Mus musculus: one gene and its partners. The protein of the gene in region 3 interacts with the protein of the main gene of each other region in a pairwise test. Links are inferred from orthologs where the notes say so. Each region holds a gene or a part of one and is shown on either strand. Other genes may lie near its edges.

Region 1 (7,765 bases), on a different chromosome or scaffold from region 3:
TGGCCACATCTCCACCTGCAGAGTGATCACACCTGTGGGGTCAAGGGTTCTCAGCTTCTACAGGGGGCTGAGGTGTACAGGGACCCCCCAAAGCCTGCACTTCATTGAGGACACAGGCCCCACAGGGAATAGCAAATAAAGCAAACTCCTTTCTAGCTGGCACCTCTCTGTCAGGAGCCATTTTGCTTGCTTCTGTGAAAGCCTATCAGGCCGAGTCAAGTCAGGCCAGGGTCTGCTGGCAGATTTTCTAGCCTGCTGACTCATGAAACGGTAAGAGGGGATACACTTGAAGCTCAAGGTGAGGGGCTGAATGTTCGGTTAATCTTGGAGTAAGGGACAAGGAGGCCTCCAGATAGGTACAGATATCCAATGTATGTCAGCCATTGTCTCTGCTGGCTTGTGACTTTGTTTCCCGAGATACTGTAAAGAATATAAAGCCTATGAGAGTTATTATTAAACTCAGAGCTGCAGCGGCACTAACTGAACAGCCCTCTCAATTTCTAACCTTTGTCTCCGAGTCTTCTTTTCCGTCTTTCCTATAATCATCCTTACTCGCCTCTCAGAGGACTGTTGGACTTTGTACCGGCAGTCCCAAGACCAGGGCTCAGGGACAGCACCTGGTGGTAGAAAGATGATGGGAGTGTGGCTTTGTAGTACCAGCATAGAATCCTACTGTCAGGGGATGAAGGCTCAGCAAGTTATTCTAGCTATACCCCACTCCTTACCCACAAGTTAGGAATGGGGATTAGTAACAGTGGTCAGATCTTAGACATGAACTTTGGAAGGTTTTGCTCCCAGCCCATAGGGCAGTAAGCATAGCTCAGCCTCCCAGAGGCTGCATGTTCTGGGCCACACAGTGTGCATATTTGGGCCAGAGAAAGAGTGGAGATGTTCCTATGTCTGTATTCTGTCATGGCCATGCCTCTATTACAGGTGTGGCAATGCTGCTTACACACTTGCCTGACATGGTTGCCATCACTGGTCTGCCCTCCTGTAGCATGTGACAGTTATACAGCTCAGGATAGATGTGGGTTTAGTACATTTTCCCTGTTCTGCCCATGTCAATACATTGTGTCAGTCACAAGGGAGAAGAAACTGCATACCTATTTCCACAGAGCCCTAGACTGTCCAAGGTATCCATCCTTGTTATCTGACAGCAGGCCACGAAAGCCTATATCCCAATACAGCACAGTGGACCTGTTTTTTGAGTTCAGGAACCTACTCTGTCTTATTTCCTAGGAAACCAGAACTCATTTTCTGTTTGGCTCTTCCTGGCCTTAGAACACATTTCTCTTCTGTGCTTCATTCACCCCATGCTGTGGGACTCTGGGTAGAAAGGTGCCCAGGGTGGCAGTGTCCCAAAATGACAGACAAGAAGTGGTCTGGTTGCAAGATGCGCTGGGAATACAGGGAGGTACCTGGCACAAGCTGAGGCTGGTAGCTGACTCAAGTAGCAGCTAAGCTGAGTGGAAGGGGCCAGCCAGGCAGGCTTGTTATGAGTCAGCTGCGTTGTCAGAGCCACTTCCCAAAGGTGGCCTCGTCCAAACCTATTCTGAAGGACCATGTGAAATCTTCATGATGCCCACTGTAACTGGCCCTTCAACCATCCCTCCTACACAGGACACAAATAAATATACACCCAGAGCTCCAAAAAAGAAAACTCTGAGAACCTTGTGTACCAACTACAGCCATCACCTCAACTGTGCTTGAGCTAAGGAACAGCAGGGAAAGGGTGTACACTTGATGTTTACCATGGACACGGCTGAAGCGAGAAGCCTACATTCCCAAGGTATATAGTATCTAGGCCAGGACCTCAAACACTATATCCAAAAGCATTTCTCTAGGTACAGCCTTACAGCCTGACAAGTGTAGGGTGCCCTATGTTGGTTTTGAGGGCAAAGGGGCCAGGAGTGTGGTCAATGCAAGAGACTGGCCAAACATGAGGCCCATGGGCTGAAGCTTGTGCCTCTACATACATTCCAAGTCTGACACTGGTCATGATGGCACCTATCTGTATGGCTACAAACACACCAGCCTGGACTATATGAAACCCTGACTCAAAGAGGGGGAGGGGGCAGAGCTAACCTCTGAGGAGCTGACTTTCTTACATGAGTAACTATACAGGCAGAGGGACTGCAAACAGAGATTTAACCAGGGTCAAGAGGTGGCATGCCAGGATCTGAGCTCTCTAGGGTTTTGGCCATGGTCTGGGGAGGAGCCGGGCACCTCCAGCCAAGCCAAACAGCAGTCTCTTTCTAGCATCCACTTTATTGTAACATTTGGCCAGCCCAGTGGATGCAGTTCTGGTCAAGTGTCTCTGAGAAAAAGAAGCCAGAGCCTGGGCATGTAGTCCCTCTCTCAGGCCATACTGCTGCTCAACTGCATAGCAAAGTCCTGTACATGGTCCTTCAGAGTCTGGCGGGCATCTGCCTGTGCTCGCTTCTCCCGTGCCCGTTCCTGCTGCAGCTTGGTCAGTCGCAGCCTAAGCCGCTGCTCCCGCCGCTTGCAGGCCTGCAGCTGGCGCTGGGTCTTGTCCAGAGCATCAAGAGCTGCTTCAGCTCGCCTCTTCCAGAGCAAGGCGCTCCCCACTTGGTAGCTGTGCTCATTCTGGATGTAGGCTCCAGCAGGAGGTGGCAGCCGTAACATGTATGCAGATGGGGAGGCAGGCTGTGGCTCAAGAGGGGAGGGGTGCTGCTCTGGTGAGGGCTGTGTGCTACAGCCCGCTTCATCCGCCTGAGCACCTAGAGGGCCCAGGAGATCTGAGAAGGGGCTGTTAAGGCCAGGGTCCAGCCTCACAGCTGGGGATGCGGGCAGAGTGGCAGGTGCTGAGGCTTCTTCCACAGGGAAGCAGATGATATCGGCACGAGGAGGTGGAGAAAAGGGAGTTGTGGGTCCTTGTCTTTCGGAGCAGCTGGAGGGGAAACAGAAAGAAACTAAGGCATGCCAGGCTCCTCTCATTAGCCCATTTAGTCTCCCTAACATCTGAGCCCCCTTTACTGGGTCTAGATAGCAAAATAGTTCAGTGAAGATGCTGGCATTCACCCTAGGTCCAGCCCCTCAGCCCTGGGGTGAGGGTGGGGCATCCCCCGGTCCTGCAGCACATACCGCTTCCTGCATCGCCGGAGCCGGCTGACGTCAGGCAGGCCAGGTGGATAACCATGCCCCTTGGTCTTGGCTGTTCGACGCAACTTGGAGAAAGACTCAAATATGGTGGGGACTGCCCCCTCCTTCAGCCTGTGATACCCACTGTGGGGAAAAGCAGCCCAGATGAGCTGGAGAAAAGAACGCTGCCACGTCCCCTGATTCCCCACATAAGGCCCTGCAGAGGCGTAGGACCTCTAGGGATGAGAAAGGCCCCAAGGCACACTGCCAGTAGCAATCTCAAGAATGCCACGTGTGGTAAAATCAAACTCATCTTCCCTGTGAATGAGCTTCCCGGGTTAAGGTGAATGGAGAACCCACCAGCAGGGATAGGTGGACGGCTGGAAGAACTAGGTGCTAACCATCCTATGAAAAAGCTGTTTTTCTTTTGCATGGAGCGGCTAACCTCAGGTGACTTCCTTAATCATTCTCTACCTTTGTTTTTAAAGATTTTTTTCCTTAAAAACCTTTTTTATTTTTATGTGTATAAGTGTTTGCCTATGACTGTTCACCGAATGCGTGCCTAGTACCTACAGAGGTTAGAAAAGGATAAAGGATCACTTGGAACTGGAGTGAGCCAGTTCCAGTTCCAGACTGCTATAAGCCATTATGTGGGTGGTGGGAAATGAACACAGGTCTTCTGGAAGAACAGCCAGTGAGTGCTCGTAACCTCTGAGCCAGCTCTACTGATGTGTATGAATATTTTGCCTGCATGTACATATGTGTACCCGTGCCCTCAGAGGTAGATTGAACCCCAGTCCTCTGTAATGCTCTAAAATGGTTAAGCCATCTCTCCAGCCCTTCCACCTTATTTTTTTAAAGACAAGTTTCTCAACTCAACACAGGGCTCAACAACTCATCTAGACTAGCTTTTCCATAAGTCCTTGGGATCCCCTTTTTGTTTTGTCTTCTCCAGGACTGGGATTAAAGGAACAAGCAATCACATGTGGCTTTTTATTTGGGTCCTTGAATCTGAAATCAGGTCCTAATGCTTGCATACCACGTCTTTAGCAAAGGGGGCTATTTCCCCAGCCTGGAAAGCCTGATTTTCTCTAATGTCACTGGCACAGTGATCCTGGGATCATGCTTTAACTGTACAAAACTGGAAAGAGGCTTGGCACGCTTGACAACTGGTCTGCTTGTCTCTGAGCATGCCAGCGGATGTGCATGGACTCCACCAGGGCAAAGAGCTGCCTCGTTTGACCCACTGCTCTGATGCCTCACAACCTGTCCTGGTGTTAGCTGGCAGAAAGACCCACCTGATTCCCACCAGCTCAAAGCAGTTTTCCTCGAAGTGTTTGGAGCAGAAGTAGATGTACTCAGAGGTCGGATCCCACAGGCCCTGGCCGCTGGGGTCCAGCCGCTGACAGTTGGCCAGCCACAAGCCGCGCCTGGGGTTGTCTTTCTTGGGAAGTCTGCAGAGCCACAAAACCGTGAGCACCAGACTGTCTACAGTCCTGCGTTCAGGATGCCCAAGCTCCCCAAGCAAGAATGGCAGACCTCCCCGCGACCCTTTCAGATTACCACCCGCTGGGGGAAAGGAGAAACTGAGAACGAGAGAAAGAAAGGGGCCGGCTCAGCATCATCTAGCAGGAATGAGTCGGAGCTGTAAATCCAAGCCAGGTAAGCGTCCAGTCCTTTTTCCGGCTGGACTCGAGACTATGCGCCCTTCCCTGTCACCCTCCCGCTCACAAGTTCAAGCCTCACATCGACCTCGGGAAAGCGCCGTCTCCTGCGAGGCCTAAGGTGCGGCAACACCGGCGCCTGCGCTATGAGCCCTCGCGTGCCACTACGCACGCGCGCTGACCTGTGGAAGGAGATGCCGCGGTTGCGAGTCTCGCGCGTATCCCGTGTGCAGCAGCCGGCGGCGGAGCAGTGTCGCGGCATCTGGGGAAGGGGCGGGATCTGGGTGGTGGGCGGCAGTCGGGGGAGGACTGTCTTCACGCCCAACTGTCACTCCCTCCAGAGGGCCCGAGCCGGTCGGCTCCCCGAGGCCCGACCCCGTACCAGTCTTGTCCTAGCTCGTTCTATAGACTCCCGTCAGCGGTACTCACGGTCTTGCCATTGCTGCGCCGCCAAAATCTCGCGATGGGTGGATCGACGCGGAAGTTGGGAGCAGAGATACTCCGTCGCCCGTGGCGCGGGCCCCCAAGGGGCGGGACCGGAAGAGATCCTGGCGGGGCGGGCCACCGGATGTTGGGAGTGAGGGATGGCGATCGTCGCTCCCGAGTTGAGGTTTCTGCATCTGTAGTTTCGGGTCCCTGTTTTGTTTGAGCGTCTGTCGTTTGGACGAAGCAGCTGGGTGTGGTCTGTACTGCTCCCTGAACAACGTACGCGCACACTCTGGTTGAAAAAGATCCACCACCAAGAAAAACCTGGGCTCTTTACTGAAAGAACTCGGCCACGGACTGGTGGCTCAGCACTTGCTACCAACCCTGAAGATTGAATTTGATCCCCAGGACGCAACCTGCTGGAAGGAGAGAACCAACGTCCAGTAATTGTCCTTTGATCCCCATATACATGCACAAAATAAAATGTTAACGACACATTTAGAACATTTTCTTTTAATGGCCTTGTAAAGGCCTGGGTGAAGATAGTGACCTTATGGGAGGCCGTCCCAATATACTAAGTAGCAACTGTCCAGTTATCGGAATGTTCATTTTTCAAACCCTGAGACGCTAGCCGGTGTGTTCCGAGAGCACGGTTTCCCCAGTGATGCTTTGAAGGGGGATTTCTCTGACCACAGGATCAGGCGTTTTACATTCTAGGCTCACTTTTGTAGCAGGAACAAAGTCAGAAATGGGTTCCTTGGGTTTCTGCTGGGGGAAGAGAGGTGAACAATTACAATCTTGGGATGCAGAAGGGGAGGTTATGGGACTCCAGGCCTGAAGGGCACAAAGGCATACTTGATCTAAGTACCGGCGAGGTTGGGTAGCCTGTTATGCTCCTGTAGAGGAGTTGTCTTGGCTGAAAAGGTCATCGAAGCCCCTATTTAGTTGGTTTTGATTTTTCCTGATCTGTTGGAGGCATTCATCCCTATATAAAGCCTCCCATTGAAGGAATAGGGGGCAAGAAGGACCAACCGATGTGCTGGCTCAGTAGTGTACTTAGAGCTGCACAAGACTCAGAAGAATGGATTTGGCCCAGGGTGCATGAGTACCATCCTCCTTTTGATTGTCTAACCTCTTTTAATTCATTGGCCCAGTAGGGATACCAGTGTAGGGGCAGAGAGTAAGTGAGTTGAAAACATGGAAAACCCAGGTGTTACTTTATTTGTGCTGAAGTTTGGACGAATCTCTAATTTCACATAGTTGGTGGGTGTGGGAGGTAGAAGACAAAGAGCCTTCAAGAGTTCTATGAGTGTTCTTAGGGTGTGAGGGAGGCAGGAGGGGGCATAAGGCATCAGTGGGGCATAAAGAGGGTGTGTGTGGATGTGGCAGGTCATTTTCTAATATACTCAATGGCCTGTTCAAGGGCAGTGAGCTCCACCTAGGGGCAGTCTTCAGGGCGCTCCTCCACAAGATGTGGCCAGACAATAGACTTCACCTAGGTTAGAAGACTCCACCCTAGGTGGGCTAGGCAACTGTGGTAAAACAAGGTCTGATTCAGCCTGTTCAAGGCTAGCCCCGACCAAAAGAAGTTGCCCCTTCACCGTAGTCAGTCCCTTGCGATGCCTCAAATTGAAGGTAAAGGAAGAAGGAAGAACCAGCTGAGGATCCTCAGGTTGGGATGCTGATGTCCCTCAGAAGGAAATCCTTGCCATCTTCCGAGCATCCCTGTTTGAGCCCCAGATGTGGGTCCTTTGCTCCCGACTGGGCGTTGATCACTGGTGGTCTCAGGATGCAGAGGAGCTGGGGAGCAGGGTCTCAGGCAGTGGTGAGTATTTTATTGAAATAGTGGGGCTAACTGACGTAGCTCAAGTCAGAGGGAGGAGAGGTAAGTGTTGCAGCGGGGGCAGGGACCTTCCAAGTGTATTAGATTAGCAGACCACAGTCTGTCGGGGTAATCTTTTTTTTCCCACAGTGTAAAGGTTGTCTTTGTACTATTCAAATGTTGATTTCTGTACCGGTGACGAGTTGAGTGCTGGCTGGACTTTGGTATTGGTTATTTTTATGGATCATCACCTGCTTCAGTATTTTGTAAACATACACCTCCCTCACCTTTTGATTGGTTTAACAAAGATCTGACGGCCAGTAGCTGAGGCAGGAGAGGAGAGGCGGGACTTCTGGGCAGAGATGGACTCTGTTGGAAGAATCAAGTTGACACGGAGTCGCTCGGACTTAGTGAGTGAGAAAAAGGTAATAGGCCACGTTACAGACATGGATTTATTAAATTCATCAAGCTACACACCAGCCAGAATGGCTAAAATAAAAAATTCAGGTGACAGCAGATGCTGGCGAGGATGTGGAGAAAGAGGAACACTTCTCCATTGCTGGTGGGATTGCAAGCTTGTACAATCACTCTGGAAGTCAGTCTGGCGGTTCCTCAGGAAATTGGACATTATACTACCAGAAGATCCAGCAATACCTCTCCTGGGCATATACCCAGAAGATGTTCCAACTGGTAATAAGGACACATGCTCCACTATGTTCATAGCAGCCTTATTTATAATAGCCAGAAGCTG
Region 2 (7,991 bases), on a different chromosome or scaffold from region 3:
CTGAAGAGCAGAGACAAGAGGAACGACATGGAGCCAGAAGCCCCAGTGGCACAGTCATCAACATTTCTCTCTTGGGCCATGAACTTACTGCTTGTGTGTGCAGAGGCCAGGCCACACAGATGCATACTATAATGGCCCCATCGACAGAGCAGCCCAGATGTCAGTGGCTGCTGTGGTCTTTCTCAGATCCCCCGAGAAGCAGAAGGACCCACAGAAACTGAAGGAGACTGCCAAGCCCAGACCAATTACTCAACAAAAATTTGGAAGGTCCTAGTTGGCTTAGGGCCCAAGGAGATTCTACATGCTCATGTTGATATCCCGGCTTCATATTAGAACTTCCATAGAACCCTACCCTGAGCCTGGAAATCAGAACCCCAGGTAAGTGCAGGACCATGTACACTGTGGAAAGATTTGACAATGGTGAGACATTCACTTGTGGCCCTGACAGTTTAGTGTGTAAGACCAAAGCTTGTGGAGGAGCAAAGCCTGCAATGGCTGCACAGCTACCACTACATATCCATGGTCGCTGATGGGATTACAAGCTCTGTTTCTATGGGCAAGGGAGCTAGAGGTCACACAGGAAAGCCAAGACTCAGGGTATGAGAGCTGGAGCTCTAATCCCACTTTCCCTGAGGCTGTCTCAGCTTGCTTCTCATGTCATGGCTAGCCTGTCAAGTTAATAAAAGCCTTCTCTCTCTCTCTCTCTTTTTCTTTTCTTCCTTCCTCCCTCCCTAGCTCCCTTCCTTCCTTCCTTTTTTCAAGAAAGTTTTTCTGTGTAGCTCTGGATGTCCTGGAACTATGTAAACCAGCCTGGCCTTGAACTCACAATTTCCCGCCTCTGCCTCCCGAGTGCTGGGATTTAAAGCGTGTAACAGCACTGCCCGACATCAAAGCCTTTTTCAATTCTCAAGGAGGAACCAATTCTCTAACTTGTTTTTATGGTCCTGGGAATAAAACTGAGGGCTTGTTAATATTATCACTCTACTACTTGACATACATAGCCCCAGCCTTTAGTGGGGGGTTCTAGGCAAGAACTCTATCACATTCCCAAGCCTCAATAACCTTCATTATTAAGCTACCAGTGTCTAACTTCCAGAAAAGTAGCCTCCAACTTGAGTGAGAAGTAAGCAAAAGATAATTAAATAGCAAACAGCTAATACAGAGCTAATCTATACCTTACATTACCTCAGATAGAGGAAAGCAGATATCACTGTGCAGTAGGCTGGGTGGAGGTCAGGGTGGGGGTTCTAACAAAGCCACCCAAATATGATCCCATCCCTCCATTTAGAAAGTGCTGGAAAGTCCAAGGCCTGGAACTTACAGCTGAGAGTGCACAGAACTTGTCTGACTCAGCAGAATCCAGGAAGTCAATCAGCTCGATCTCAAACAGGACGGTGGCATTTGGCGGGATGAGGGGAGGGCACCCCAGGGTGCCGTAAGCATAGGCTGGCTTGAACAGGAACCTGGCCAGTTCCCCTTTGCGCATGCTCAGAAGGCCCAGCTCCATGCCCCAGAGTGTAATATCTGGAAGAAAGGAGGTTCACTCAGCATTCAGTCCGTCCGTTCACAGGTACCAGTTTCCCTATGCCAACCCAAGCCCATTGGGTTGGGTGCCAACTCAGTGCTCAGTCTTGCTCCTGCTGTCCTACTTTCCCCAGACGCCATCTTCTGCAGGCTCCATCTCTGTTGCATAGTCTGCTCTTTCTTTTAAGTTCTCTGCCATTAATGCCTGTGGTCTATCTACTGTAACTGAAATTTAAGATTTTTTTTCCTTTAGTTTTATGTGTACTTCTATGTATGTTTTGCTGTTTGTATGTGTGCCAAATTCATTTAATCACTGCCCACAGAGGCCAGAAGAGGGCATCAGATCCCCAGAAACTGGAGTTATAGACGACTGTAAGCTACCATATGGGTGTTGTACATTGAACCCCATCTCCTGGAAAAGCAGCCAATGCTCTTAACTTCTGAGCCATTTCTCAAGTCCCACAACTGAAATCTTATTCAAACCTCAGGGCTCTCATCTCAAGCCTTCTTTTTCACAGAATGCCTGTGACCCTGCCAAAAGGAGGGCAACTATAATGTCACCAAGCAGACCCAGGTTACCCCTCAGAGCTCCAGGCTTCATTTAATTCTATCGTCCATTTCTGGACCAGAGACCAAGCTCCCCAGCCCTAGCAAGGTCCATAAGATGTGGATCTCATCATCTGAGTGTGGCCTCTTGAGATGTGTGCGTGTATGTGTTGATGCGTGTGTACATGCATGCAGATGCTAGAAGACAGTCTCAACTGTCATTCCTCAGGGGCATCTGCCTTGTTTTTTGAGACAGAATCTCTCATTGTCCTGAAGTCTGCTAAGGAGGCTGGCTGGCCAGAGAACCCGAGGGAGCCGTCTGTTTCTGCCCTGCTGCACTGAGATTATAAGCATATGCTACTATAGCTGACCTTATAAAACAAAAACCAACCAACAAACTCAAACCCACGGGCTCTATGGGATGGAAAGCAGGTCCTCGTGCTCGAGTGGCAAGCACTTACTGACTCCTTCTCCCAGACCCTGTGCTGTCTTATCTCACTACACACGCTAGGAAGGGAGCGTTTACTATGTTATTTCATAAATGCACAAAGCATCTTGTCCAGTGGATCCAGGTGTGGGGGCTCATGTTTATCACCCTATCGTGGCAGAGCTGAGCTAGGAGACTTCTGAGTTGATGGTAGGTGGGGGCTTCACAGTGCGATTCCGTCTTAAAAGCTGCCCTGCACCTGGAGAGATGGTTCAGCAGTTAAAGAGTGCTTACTGCTTCATGGTGGCAACAACTGCCTAATTACAGTTCCAGGCGGCTTGCCACCCTCTTCTGGCCTCTGCAGGCACTGGGCACACATACACATATACATAAAAATTTTAATAGCACCCAATGGGCAACTTAGATGCCAAGATAAACTTGCCAGGTAGGCTACCAGCCAAAAATAATGTCTCAAGAAGAAAAGTGACAAGACAACCTGGGTGCTTCCCTGAAACCCAAGCTCAGCTACAAACTCTAAGAACCTGTTTCCTGGATGCTGTGACAGTCTTAAAACATGGCCTCTTTTGCCCAAATGACCCAGGTGACTTTACCTTCTCCAAGTTTCATCAGCCGAGGTGTTTTCCTAAAGCAATTAGAATCGAAAGGCTTGTCCATGTGCTCCAGGTATCCAGAATATTTCACTAAGGCAGAGGAAAAGACAGCACGAATGTGAGGAAACCATGCCTGAGGCACCGCCAGAGCCATCAACAGGGAACACTACGATTGGCTGTTCGTGGTAGAGGACGTCTGTAATCCCAGCACTTGGGAAAGTGAAGACAGGAGTAGCCTCAGCTACACTGCAAATCTATGCTAGTGCTAGACACCTGTCTAGTCAGAGACGCTGTCCGGGGGTGGGGGAGAATTAAATGAGTTTACGCTGCCTGGCACCCCGACTCGCAGGAGAGCTTCTTGTGGGGTTCTGAGTATCTGACTTTCAGCTCTGAGGTTCAAAAGCTCTCCTGATGAACCAAGCCTGCTTTGTTTCTGAAAAGCTCAAGGCAGGCAAAAATGGCAGCCACTTGTCACCCCAGCTCTAAAGAAGCTAAGGCAGGAAGAGGGTCAATTTGAGACTGGCTTGAGATACAGGGAGACCCTGTCTTAAAAAAAAAAAAAAAAAAAAGGCTAGACTTGGTGATGCACAGCACTACGGAGGCAGAGGCAGGTGGATCTCTGAGGTTTGAGGAGAGCCTGACCTGGTCTACTACATACAGAGTTGCAGGCTACCTAGGGCTACACAGTGAACCGTATCTCAAAAACAAACAAAAAATTAAAACAGGACTGGAGAGATGGCTCAGCAGTTAAAGAGCACTGACTGCTCTTCCAGAGGTCCTGAGCTCAATTCCCAGCAACCACATGGTGGCTCACAACCATCTGTAATGAGATCTGATGCCCTCTTCTGGTGTGCCTGAAGACAGCTACAGTGTACTTAGATGTAATAAACAAACAAACAAACAAACAAACAAATCTTTAAAGAAAAAATTAAAACAAAGGCATATGCCAGCAATTTGGGAGGTAAAGCAGGCAGCTCTCTGTGAATTCGAGGCCAGCCTGGTCTTCAAAGGGAGTTTCACAGAGAAACCAGTCTTGAAAAACAAACAACAACAACAAAACAACAACAACCCCACCACTCCACCCCCAAAACAAAACAAACAAGAAAATCAAAACCACAAACAAAACCAGATAAACAACAACAAAACAGGCAGAGGATGTGGCCCAGTTGGTAGAATGTCTGAGTAGCATGTAGAAGGCCCAGGGTTCCATCCCCAGCACCTCAGAACCAGGCATGTTAGCAGACACGAGTAGTCTAAGCATTTGGGAGGTGACACAAAAGTTCTAAGTCATCTTTGGTTACATACGGTCTGAGGCCTGCAGACATGAGATTGCTTCTCAAAACCAAACCCTCTTTGTTCAGGGGAAACACAGCCAGTCCCATAAAACGCCGTATTTTGTAAATATGCAATCACTCACTGAAGGTACTCAGGTTCCAGGTTCAATCCCTGGTACCTGGAAACAACACCTTGACCCTGCCAAGAGGGTTGGTGTACATTCCCAGGGCTCTGTCCCTAGCACACTATAAAACGTAGTGGTGGCCAACCATTAGCCCAGGACTTGAAAGGCAGAAACAGGAAGATCAGAAGTTCAGGGTCAACCTCAGCTAGAGCGGCAGTTAAGAGGCCAGTCTGGGTTGCATGAGACCCTGTCTTAAAAAACAAAACAAAACAAAACAAAACAAAAAAAACAAAAACAAACTTAACCCAAGGACAAAAGAGCAGCCAGCAGCGGCCTCCATACCCAGCACAGAAGCGTCAGGTGTCACGGTATCGCCAGTGCCCTCTCGGATGATGTCCTTCAGCACACCTCGGTCCCCGGAGATGTCCAACATGCGTTGACTTAGTCGCTCATAGGGAGACTGGTGGAGAGAAAGCCACAGGCCTCAGAGGTGGAAGCCGCTTGCCTCATCGCCTCAGGCCAGCGCCATGGTCCCGCCCTCACCTGGCCTAGGATGCCAGCCCCTTCCAGGGCTCCCGGGTCTCGGGTGCTGCCACCCATGGCCGCGCTCCAGGTGCTCCCCAGCTCGTGCTCCCAGGCTCCCGAACCCCGCTCCGTACCTGGCAGTCGTCTCGCGACGGTGGGATTCCGTTCCTGAGGCGCGAGAAGACGCTCATCTTGCCGCACAACTGTCTCCAAAGGCCTTGCCGGAAACGACCCCGGAAGTCAGGCACCACGCGGGCTGTGCACGAGAGAAACGGCACGTGATCGATAGACGCAGCGAGCATGCGAGCATGCGCTGAGGGTCTCCCAGCACGCGCTGCACACGTGATGGCAGGCGCAAAGCAGGATGGAGCCCTGGGAGGGCTTCGGACAAAGCATTTTATGCGGCACAAAAAAAGCCTTTCCTTTGGTCTCAATGTTATGCTTGGCGTTCTGTCACAAAAGCAAAACACATTGCTACAAAATTAGTGACTGAAACCAACGCATGCTTTTTGCCTCGCGGTTGTCTTAGATGCTCAATAGCTTATTTGTATGTGGCCTGGCGATAAAAGTGGTCATTATTAGGCAAGCGATCTACGACTGAGTCACAGCCCCAGGAGGATACAAGTACGTGGCCCTCCTCCGAACTAGGCATCCAGTTGCTTTACCGAGGAGTCCAGGCAAGCTTTCTGCTGATGAGCTATGTCTCCAACCCGAGAGTTCACCTTTCCTTCCTTCCTTCCTTTTTCTTTTCTTTCTTTCTCTTTCTTTCTTCCTTCCTCCCTCCTTCCCTCCCTCCTTACTTTACTTCTTTCTTTCTTTCTTTCTTTCTTTCTTTCTTTCTTTCTTTCTTTCTTCTTTCTCTCTCTCTCTCTCTCTCTCTCTCTCTCTCTCTCTCTCTCACAAAGAGGATCTCACTATGTAGTCTTGTGGGCCAGGAACTAGCTAGGCAGAATACGCTGGCCTGGAGAAGTCACAGAGATCCACCTGCCTCTGTCTCCCAAGTGCTGGGAATCAAGATGTTTGCTACCACAGCTGGCTCCAAGATTTCACATGTTAAAAGTTCATATTTTAGTAACATTGACAGAAAGAGTCAAAGAGTACTGTTCACATCAAATTCACAAACAGACCCCATAAGATAGGGAGATAATTCAGGAGTAGAGCGCTTTTGTAGCATGCTCAAGACCCTGGTTCTATCTCCCAGCAAGGCAAGAAACAAACAATGGCAATCAAGATAGCCAAGTGGGTAAGGTGTCTGCCACCAACCTTGACAGCCAAGACCTACAGGTGGAAGGGGAGAACTGACTATTGCAAGTTTTATCCCCTGGTTTCTCATGCATAAGGTGGCCTGCACCTGCAAGCACACACAATAAATGTTAAAATACATACATACATACATACATACATACATACATACGGGCAGCTGGTAGGAGGATACGAACCAGAACGGTAACTGTGTTGATTGCAGAGCCTGTTCTGGCAGGAGGCAAAGGACTGACTCTGCAAATTCTCTACAACTAGATTTTTTTGTTTTGTTTTGCTTTTGAGATAGTCTCATGAGGTCCAGGATGGCCTTGGGTGTGCTACATAGCCTGAGAATGAACTTGACTTCTGGCCTCCGGTCAGCATTTCCCAAGTTCTGGGATTATAGGTGTTCAACACTCTGTCCAGTTTACAACTTGACCTTGAGCATGAGTGTACACAAATAAGATAAAAGTTACACTGCGTGGTTAAGATCTGTTCACATGTTACACCTCGAATGAGAAAAATCAGAGTAAGCAGCGTATTTTATCATTGCTGTGTGTGTGACCCAAACTTAGAAAACGAGAAAAATCTAAATAAATAAAATACCTTTAAACTTCCGGGTTGAGGTATTCAGAAAGCTGCTCGTCATACAAAGCTTATACCTGCTTGTGCTCCGAGCTGGCGCACGGTCTCAGCCCTTCCCCCATCCTGGGCAAGGCCACACAATCTGCCTGTGTAGGTTATCGTAAGGGAACCCAACAGAGGCCGCCGCCTCAGTCTCGTGGTGTGTGACCCACTTCCCACCTGATTCTGGATGACCTTGGGACACAGGTGTTGCCGGGAAAGGGGAGGGGATGGGAGAAGGGGCAGACACCAGGCAGTGGCATCTATGTCCAGCTGGCTGCCCCGGGTCTCCGTGTCAGCTTCCCCATTCTGGGAGGAAGGAAAGGCTTCAGTGACCAGAGAGAGCTGCTTGTTTGAGGCCCTAGTGGGAGGCCTGCTGGACCACAAGAAATCAGGTAATGCGGTAGTGGGATGTGGGTCGAGTTGCTGCTATCTTGCTCAGTGGAGACTTTGTTTCTGTTTTGGAAGATGAACACCCAAGGCTCTTTTTATCTCAGACTCTGTGAGGACAGTGTTACCCTGGGACAAGGGACATTGCTCTTGTTGTTCAGGATGTAGCTACTGAGTAGATACTGACTTACCAAGCATGCTTAAGGCCCCCAAGGGGTCTATACCCAGAACTATTTAAATTGTGTATAGTGGAGCACACCTGCAATCCCAGCTACATACAGGGTTCAAGGCCACCACCGTCCACAGGACCCCTATCCCAAAAAGAAAAAGTAACAATCTGGCTTTAAGATTGCTTAGGCGGCAGGTTCCTGGTGCTCCCTGCCTTTAATCCCAGCACTTGACAGGAAGAGGCAGGCAGAGCTCTGTGAGTTGGAGACCGGCGTGGTCTACAGAGAGAGTTCCAGGACAGCCAGGGCTACACAGAGATTCCTTGTCTTGAAAACAAAAAAATAAACAAAAAGTGCCTGGCTTGAAGGTGTATATTACAGATTTCTGGGTCTCAAGAGAGAATCTTCCTTGAAGTTGAATCCCTGCCTGGAACTGGGGCTCTGGAATCTCTAGAATAGCAGTTCTCAACCTTCTAACACTACAGCCCTCAACACAGTTCCTCATGCTGTGTGACCCCCCCCAACCATAACAAAGT
Region 3 (7,995 bases):
CACCCTGTGTCCCACTTACTCCATGTCCCAGAGACCTCCTGGAAAGGTCTGGCCTAGCAGGGTCAGATTAGATCTGCAGCCCTGCTTTCAGACTTACATTGGGTCTCACGTGACCGTGAGGGGGCGGCTTTAGGTCTTCAACAGCTGTAATGTGGGCGAGTCTGAGACCAAACTCACCTTGGTCTCCTGAACCAACTACTCAGGCAGTGGGCCTGGCTCAGAGAGCTGTAAACTTAAGCCTTTCCACAATATACCTGGTAAGTCAGGGAGGAAAGGAGCCTTTGGTACGTCCCTGAAATACAGGCCAACTTCCTGTTTGCTCCTGTGGGTGGGACTTTATGGATCTAAGGGAAGCCTAGCTGTGCCCTATGGGGGGCCAGGACTAGCAGCTTTCTCACCTGGGTTGCTAACTACTCTAGGGAAAGAGGCGGTACTAGGTCTGCCAGGACAGCCCCCAGCCAGCCCCAGCCCTAATGAGTGTGTGTGTGTGTGTGTGTGTGTGTGTGTGTGTGTGTGTGTGTGTGTGTGTTTTATGAAACTCGATACTTCTTTGTCTGCTTCCTAGGGATTTTCCCTCTTCTGGTTGTGAGCAGAGTGGACCGGACTGAGTTCCCCACAGAGCAGGAGAGAGGCAATCTCTACCGTGCCTTAGTTAAGGCTGCCAGGTAGCTAAAACGTCAGTTACGCCTGCCCTCCCCTTAGGTCAAAAGTCAGTATGCTGTGCAGTCAAAAGGCCAGAGAGACAGCCTTAGGCCACCACCAGGCTACTTTTGGACTGGGTACTGGGTCAGGCTACTTTTGGGTTGGGTACTAGGTTAGCTATTTGGAGGTGCGGGGCAGACCACTCCCCTCTGGGGGGGGGCGCGGCTTCAGCCGCCCCGCCCCACTCTTCCAGGGCTGGCCTGGCGGGAGCGGGGAGCCGGGAGCGCTGAGCCCGGAGCCGGCTGGAGAAGTAGAGTTCTATCACGGCGAAGAAATAGGCACGCTGGAGCGGGAGCCGGGCCAAAAAGGGAGCAGCGGCGCAGGTGACGCTGGGTGAGTGGTGGGGCGGACGGGGTGCAGGAGCTCCGGCTTCCCGCAGGTCCTCACTTTGGAGAGAACTTTACGCGTCTTGGGATGAGGAAAGGGTCCGCACTCTGTGGACCGCAGGCGAAACAACAGCAAAGGAGTAAGAAAACTTACACACACGCGCCGACACACACACACACACACACACACACACACACACACACACACACCCATGCATTCACTTAGGACGCGAACACACGTGTGCTCAGGAAAGGACAAACACAGCGAGGTACCCTAGCTGTCCCAATGGCAGTACCACTAGCTCGCGCGACTCCCCACCCCACCCTGCGACCTGGACGCTGAGTTTTTCTGCCCAAGGCTGAGTGAGAGAAAGGGGACGCCCTGAGACTATCGGCGGGGGCGGGCGGGGTTTGTCGCACCAGGCGGTTCCTGCTTCCCAGCCGGCTGCCTGCAGGTGAAGACCAAGACGTAAACAGGCGTTGAGCACGTGATTGCTTCGCAGCCGGGTGGGTAGTGCTCCCCAACTCCTGTCTAGGCAGGGACACCCCTCTCATCTACCTCTCCGCTGGTCCTAGCATGTTTGTTTCGCCCTGTATGGAGCTTTATTCCACACTTCACCTGGAATGATGATAAATCCTCTCACCCAGAATGGGAGCTCAACGCCCCTGGGGGCCTGGGTGACCCGGAGACCTGGAGAGGGTTGGGGCTAACTTGGGCTCCTTGCCTTGGAGCTCACTAGCACGTTCTTGGAACCCGTATCCTTGAAAGGTATCCGAAAGGACCTTGATGGCCCCAGACAGCTGCCCCGGTCTCATACAGCTCTGTCTTTACGTCCTCTTCCTACCGCCACCTCCACCCCTTGCAGGACTGGGCACAAATAGCCCACTCAAGCGAGAAGAGTCTCCCCTCACCCCTCCTCAAAGGGAACGCACCAAGAGTAAATATATCCTTAAACCTAAGGGGAGTGTGTCTCCTCTAGGTGGAAGAAAGATCAGAGTCCCCTCTCTGAAAGTGAAAGAGGGGGCTGCAGCCTCTTCCCCCTCCGGCCCCCATCCTTCATTCCCCCCACCCCTCACCCGGCCACATGCTGAGCCCAGCTGCTGCCTGAGCTTCTGGGCTGGAGGCCAGAAAGGGGAGGAGGTTCTCGGTGCCCCAGGAGGCAGGGATCAGGGCAAGGCCAGAGGAGGGGGTTTCTGTTAGGGAGAGGGGTTCGGTATGTTCTTGTGAAGCTGAGGGGCTGGAGTGAGCCTGAGGGTGGCTAGGCTGTGTTTTCCTTTCCAGGGAAAAAGAAAGAAAAACAACCCTTTCCATGGAGCTAAAAATAGAGCTGAGAGCCGGCCAGGCTGTGGCCTGGAAGGGGGGGGGGTGCTTCTTCCTGGGGCTGAGCCCAGCTCTGGCAGACCTTGGGGGGGGGGGCGGGGGGGATCGGGGAAGGGAGGATGGCCTTGCCAGAACATGTGAGGTCGGCTGACCTGAGCAGGTCACAGAGACCCCTCAGGGAAAGTGGGTAGTTTGTGAATATGATGTAAGAAGTTTCCAGAGTGGCTGAATCCGGCTGTCATTGCGTGGAAGAGGGTTGGGAGGCTGAGTGTATTTAAAGAATGTGACTGGATGCAAAGGACTGTTGTGCACTCTCCCGTGCACGAAACACCAAGCCTTCTGTGAGTTGGCCTGAAGGATTATGGAATGAAGATCTATGGAGCCACGTGATGGATGAGACTGACTGTGGCTGCCCGAGACTGAATGTGGGAAAGGTCGTGTGGGTGTTAAGACTGTTGTTTTCGAGAGGGTAAAAATATTTGTGACCCCAAGAGAGACTTTGGGATGTCTGCTGCGGAGCCAGTGTAGGTTTGAGCTGTTCGTTCTTGAGATTATTGGGGGTCAGGTATCCCTCCCACCCCCTTTGAGCAGCGACCCTTCTCATAGCAAATGACCCCCGAGGTTCGGCTAGGGAGGCTGGAGCCATGCCAGGGACAAGCCTGGGCTCGCGGCCCGAGGGTGCTGTGCTGGAAAGGGAGTGGGATTGGTGGGGGTCTTGGGGGGGGGGGGCTGGTAAGTTGCTGGAAAGGGCCACCAGGTGGCGCCGATTTGGAAAATCCAAGCGTGTGACCTCCAGCCTGCTGGGGGTGGGACAGACAGCGACCGAGCCAGTCCCTCAACTTGTGCCCAGGAGCCGGCAACTGGAGAGGGATGGCTGACCCCCTCGGCCTCCCCATGGACCGGGAAGCTGGAGACTGAGGAGGGAAGCTTCTCCTAGAGGAGCGGAGGGGGAGGGGCGGGGCTGGCGCCGCGCCTTGGCTCTTTGTGCTGGAACAATGACCAGCTGCCGCTGGCCCTTGGGCTCCGGCAGGGATAGGCGATGGTGACCCGGCTCGATGAGTCTCGAGCCGGCCGAGCCTCCTAACACACACACACACACACACACACACACACACACACACACACACACACAGAGTCGCTAGGCCACTCTGGGAGGAATCCCGAGCGCTACCGAGCACACACACACACCACACTTAACACACACACACACACACACACACACACACACACACACACACACACACACACACACACACACACAACACACACACACACACACAGTTGCTAGGCCACTCTGGGAGGAATCCCGAGCGCCGCCGAGCAGCCCCCGCGTGCGCCCTGGCTGGCACGCGTGACGTGGGTTACTTGCGCGTGTCCGCTCCCCGGGGCGGGAACGCCCCTCGGACCCCTCCCCCCATCAGTGCGCACCGCCCACTCGGGCCGGGCGGGGGCCGGTCAGGGCCGGGGGCGCCGGCTGGGCGGAGGCGGGGCCGAGCCGGGCAGCTCCGAGTGGCCGCGCGCGGGCTGGAGCGGGCGGCGCGCCTGTGGAGTGCTGGGGCGGCCCGGGGCTGAGCATGGAGCAGCGCGGCGGAGGTGAGGGGTCCAGGGCTGAGGGTGCCCCAACTTCTAAGCGATGCGGTCCGGTGGGGAGGTGGCATTCCATAGACGCCCCCAGTTTATGGAAGGAGCGGACTATTGTGGGTGGCGGGGGGGGGGGTGGGGGGACACGACGACTCTGGGCTTTCAGTCTCGGAATGGCAACTCGTGATCCCAGACTGGATCCTGCTTGACTGGTCTCTGGAGTTTGAGTGTGTGTGTTTGGGGGGACTTTCCCCAACTCTCCAACCCCAGCCCTGAGGTCAGAGAGTTGGGACGTGGGCCAGACTCATCTCAGGCCCTGGCGCGGCCCCAGACTCTAGAACCCCCAGCTTACTTGCTGGGGTGGGGGCGCAGGGGTCTGTGTACCATAGTGATAGGTCAGGGAGTGCTGGGGAGAACCAGGGCTTTCTTTTTCCCACAGCTACAAACGCATTTCTCAAAATGGAGCCGCTTGCCCCTCCTTCTCTCTTGGGCCTCAAAAGCGGGAGCCAGGCTGGCTAGGCCTGGCTTTCCTGACGCCTGGCCCTCAGAGCTCAGCTCTGTGGCTCCTCTGGCTTTAGGGGTCCTTGCCTGTGTAGCTTCAGCGACCCTAACTCATGGGTCTGCCTCTGGCTCCTCGTGTCTGAGCCTCTTGGCCTTTGTCTCTTCTGTCTTCTGGCTCCTGTCTCTCTGAGTGTCTACCCCGGCCCTTGCCCTTCCTTCTGGGTCTCACTTTCTGTGTCCTCTGGAGTAGGGACAGGAGTGCCAGCCCCTTCTCACTCCTCACTATACTGTGGAGCAGTCTCCATCCCTAGGCTGGACCTTTTGGGGGCGATCTCAGTACCTACCCTACAGAGAAGTTGCTACACTTCAGTTCCTACCCTAGCTCTTAGCAACTCCTTCCTCACGCTGGACTCCTGTGAGTCTCTGGTCTTAACACTTAGAGGCACTTAGTGGAGAACAATATACAAAGATAAGATGGGGCAAGGGCGTCAGGCACTGTGATCTCACCTTTCCTCAAACTCTTAAGTTAAAAAAAAGTTTTAGGGAGGAGGAGTCCCCATTCACATTGGTGGCTTTGAATGTCACCCAGGTCCTCATGCACTCCCAGAACGCTCACTTATACAGATTGGTCCTGGGGAGCTTTCACACACTTTTCTTGTGTACAGTAGGAATCCATGTAACTGTCCCAGGAGAACTGCAGGCGTCCTGTAGAGATTTGTGTGTCTCAGTCTATGAGAGACTTGACTCAATGGACCCAAAGAAAGGAGGATTTTCCCTAGAATTTCATGCTAGGAGAAGAAGCAGAATGGCTTACTGAGGATAGGTGACTGGAAGATTTAGTGGTATTTACACAAACCTCACATATGTGTGCACAAACTGGTATATCTATCCAAACATTTCTCTTTTTGCCATATAGTGACATCCAGAGCCCACAGATTCATTTGTTTTATACACATTAATAACTGTGTGGTGTGCTTTCTAAGTTACGAAACTCATAACTTTGTAAAACATAAGAATTCACACATACAGCCTGGTGGTGGTAACACACACGCCTTTAATTCCAGCCCTCAGAAGGCAGTAAGAGGTGGATCTCTGAATTCAAGGCCAGCCTGCTCTACAGAGCAAGTTCCAGGGCAGCCAGGGCTACACAGAGAAACCCTGTCTTGGAAAAACAAACAAACAAAAAACAAACAAAACAGCAAAAAAGAATTCACAGTGGGCAGTGGTGGCGCACACCTTTAATCCCAGCACTTTAGAAGCAGAGGCAGAAGCAGGCCGATTTCTGATTTCAGGGCCAGCCTGGTCTACAGAGTGAGTTCCAGGATAGCCAGGGCTATACAGAGAGAACCTGTCTCGAAAAACCAAAACCAAAACCAAAAACAAAAAAAACCACACATACAGCTCGGCATATTTGCACAAGGTTAGAATCCCAGCTCTCTGAGGCAGGAGGATCTGAGTTTGAGGCCCACCTATGGTACATAGCACAACCCTGTTTGGTTTTGTCATGTCCCCTACATCACACACACACATATACACACATGTATGAACGTACTGACATCTGTCTAAACCCACATGGACTGCACAGTTTCATGCATATTCTCACAGATACTGTTCATTTTTTTATGACCCTGTCTATGTACTCACACCCACAAGTAAATGTACACACACACACACATACACACACACACACATACACACACACACACATTCTTCTTTCTCATGGATCCTCAGTCCACTTTTTGGCCCCTTTGCTCTGTGATGACTTCAGCAGATGCCTAAGTCTTGGTCATCGGCAGCCTTGGGACTGGGCGGGAGTTCCGTTCTGGGTGCAGGCTTGCTGTTCTTTCCAGGAAGGAGTAAGACTAGGGGAGGCGGAGCCAGCCATCTTACTTGAGCTCCTACTAGACGTGGTAATGGGCTCCTGCTCAAATTCCATAGGGGTTATTCTGAAGATCAACTAAAGCAGGAAGGTTTATAAAGGTTGGCAGTGGGACAGGGCCTGGGTAGGCTCCCTTAGTCCCGAGTGATGGCAGAAGCTAAGAGTGACATGGAAACAAGCACAGCCTGCATCAACCTCTGGGAGGTAGGAGAGACCCCAGAGGGCACCTGTGGATTCCTAAGACCTGTAAGGTTTCCTGTTTGGCCAGCTCCACCCTCGAAGCCGCCTGAGTGTCTGGGAGAAACTGAGGCCCAGTGGTGGGAGGCTGGACAGCGCCTGGCTTTGACTCTTTGTTCCCTAATTACCATCTGAGTTGCTGATTGCATCCCTGACGTGTCCTCTGCCCAAACAGCCCAGTAATGAGGCCACCTGTCCCAGGAGAGTAGGGACCTGTACTGGGAGCTAGAGTTAGGGATCTCTGCCCAATCTGAGTCTTTGGCTATATAGGGGATACAGGTTGGGGCTTAAACTAGGTCTTCTCTGCCAAGGAACCCTGTATAAATGTTTAGATCTCCCATTCCTTCCTCTCTGTGTGGTCAAGTTATTCCTTAGCCTTGTTCCAGACTAGAGTTGAGGCCCAGAGGAACTCGAGGTTCATGCCAGTTCTTGGAAGGGAAGCCTTTTTCCTAAATGGGGAATGTTCTATCTGGAGGAGGGGGTCAGGAGAAGGCTTATAGGGGGAGGATCCTCAAGGTGCAGGGACTCTGACACCAATGCCCTGCTCACAGGTTGCCCCGGAGGCCCCTGGCCAGACCTGAGCCTCTGCCACCATGGCCATTGTGCACACTCTGCCAGTGCCTCTGGAGCCCGCACGTGAGACAGCCACTGCCCCCAAAACTCCAGCAATGGGCAGCGTGAGCAGTCTTATCTCAGGCCGGCCCTGCCCCGGGGGACCTGCTCCTCAACGACATCATGGTGTCCCTGGGCCCACCTTCTTCCGCCAGCAGGATGGGCTGCTACCGGGTGGCTACGAGGCACAGGAACCGCTCTGCCCGGCTGTGCCACCGAGGAAGGCTGTCCCAGGCAATAGCTTTACCTATGTCAATGAGGACTTCCGGACAGAGTCTCCTCCCAGCCCCAGCAGTGATGTTGAAGATCCCCGGGAACATCAGGCACACAATGCCCACCTCCGTGGGCCCCCACCAAAGCTCATCCCTGTCTCTGGAAAGCTGGAGAAGGTAACGGGCAGCCCTTTTGGGAGGACCTGGGTGGGAAGCCAGGAGCCCCTCAGGGAAGCTAGAATTTGGAAGCGTCAGTAGAGCAAAGAATATGGGTTCTGTCTTACCACTCAGACAGTGAAATAACCTGTCTGAGCCCCGTTTTCTGTGTCTTTATGGTTACGGTTAGAGGCTAATCTTTGTAGGTTCCTGTTAGAATTAATACATAGTAAAGTACCCAGCAACCTCAAATGAACAATATAGTAATTGTCTGAGTTAGTTTTATTTTGTTTTTTGAGACATGGTTTCTCTCTGTAGCCTTGGCTGTCCTGGAACTCACTGTGCAGACCAGGCTGGCCTCGAACTCACAGAGATCTGCTTGCTTCTGCCTCCCGAGGGCTAGGATTAAAGGCATTTGTTACCACCTCCAGCCTAGTTGCTTCAATTATTCAGAGGTGTGTGTATGTG

What was found. The genes of interacting proteins can lie anywhere in the genome.
Region 1: the proteins of Lzts2 (region 3) and Thap7 interact in binary tests that used the Homo sapiens proteins (3 or more experiments, as listed by UniProt). The two-hybrid records come from large-scale screens. The link is inferred for Mus musculus from reciprocal best matches to the Homo sapiens genes LZTS2 and THAP7.
Region 2: the proteins of Lzts2 (region 3) and Fkbp6 interact in binary tests that used the Homo sapiens proteins (3 or more experiments, as listed by UniProt). The two-hybrid records come from large-scale screens. The link is inferred for Mus musculus from reciprocal best matches to the Homo sapiens genes LZTS2 and FKBP6.

Annotation. Positions count from the first base shown.
Region 1 is NC_000082.6:17,525,830-17,533,594, forward strand, and holds Thap7 (THAP domain-containing protein 7), read right to left. Parts: upstream 5,224-7,765; 5' UTR 5,196-5,223; exon of another isoform or gene 5,149-5,195; intron 5,029-5,148; coding exon 4,949-5,028; intron 4,557-4,948; coding exon 4,401-4,556; intron 3,247-4,400; coding exon 3,106-3,246; intron 2,912-3,105; coding exon 2,359-2,911; 3' UTR 2,153-2,358; downstream 1-2,152. UniProt on the Homo sapiens protein: Chromatin-associated, histone tail-binding protein that represses transcription via recruitment of HDAC3 and nuclear hormone receptor corepressors.
Region 2 is NC_000071.6:135,344,769-135,352,759, forward strand, and holds the start of Fkbp6 (inactive peptidyl-prolyl cis-trans isomerase FKBP6), read right to left. Parts: upstream 5,224-7,991; coding exon 5,167-5,223; intron 5,146-5,166; exon of another isoform or gene 5,108-5,145; coding exon of another isoform or gene 5,051-5,107; intron 4,968-5,050; coding exon 4,850-4,967; intron 3,199-4,849; coding exon 3,109-3,198; intron 1,525-3,108; coding exon 1,322-1,524; intron 1-1,321. UniProt on the Homo sapiens protein: Has an essential role in spermatogenesis. It is required to repress transposable elements and prevent their mobilization, which is essential for the germline integrity.
Region 3 is NC_000085.6:45,014,289-45,022,283, forward strand, and holds the start of Lzts2 (leucine zipper putative tumor suppressor 2), read left to right. Parts: upstream 1-3,846; 5' UTR 3,847-3,942; intron 3,943-7,098; 5' UTR 7,099-7,140; coding exon 7,141-7,548; intron 7,549-7,549; exon of another isoform or gene 7,550-7,982; intron 7,983-7,995. UniProt on the Homo sapiens protein: Negative regulator of katanin-mediated microtubule severing and release from the centrosome. Required for central spindle formation and the completion of cytokinesis.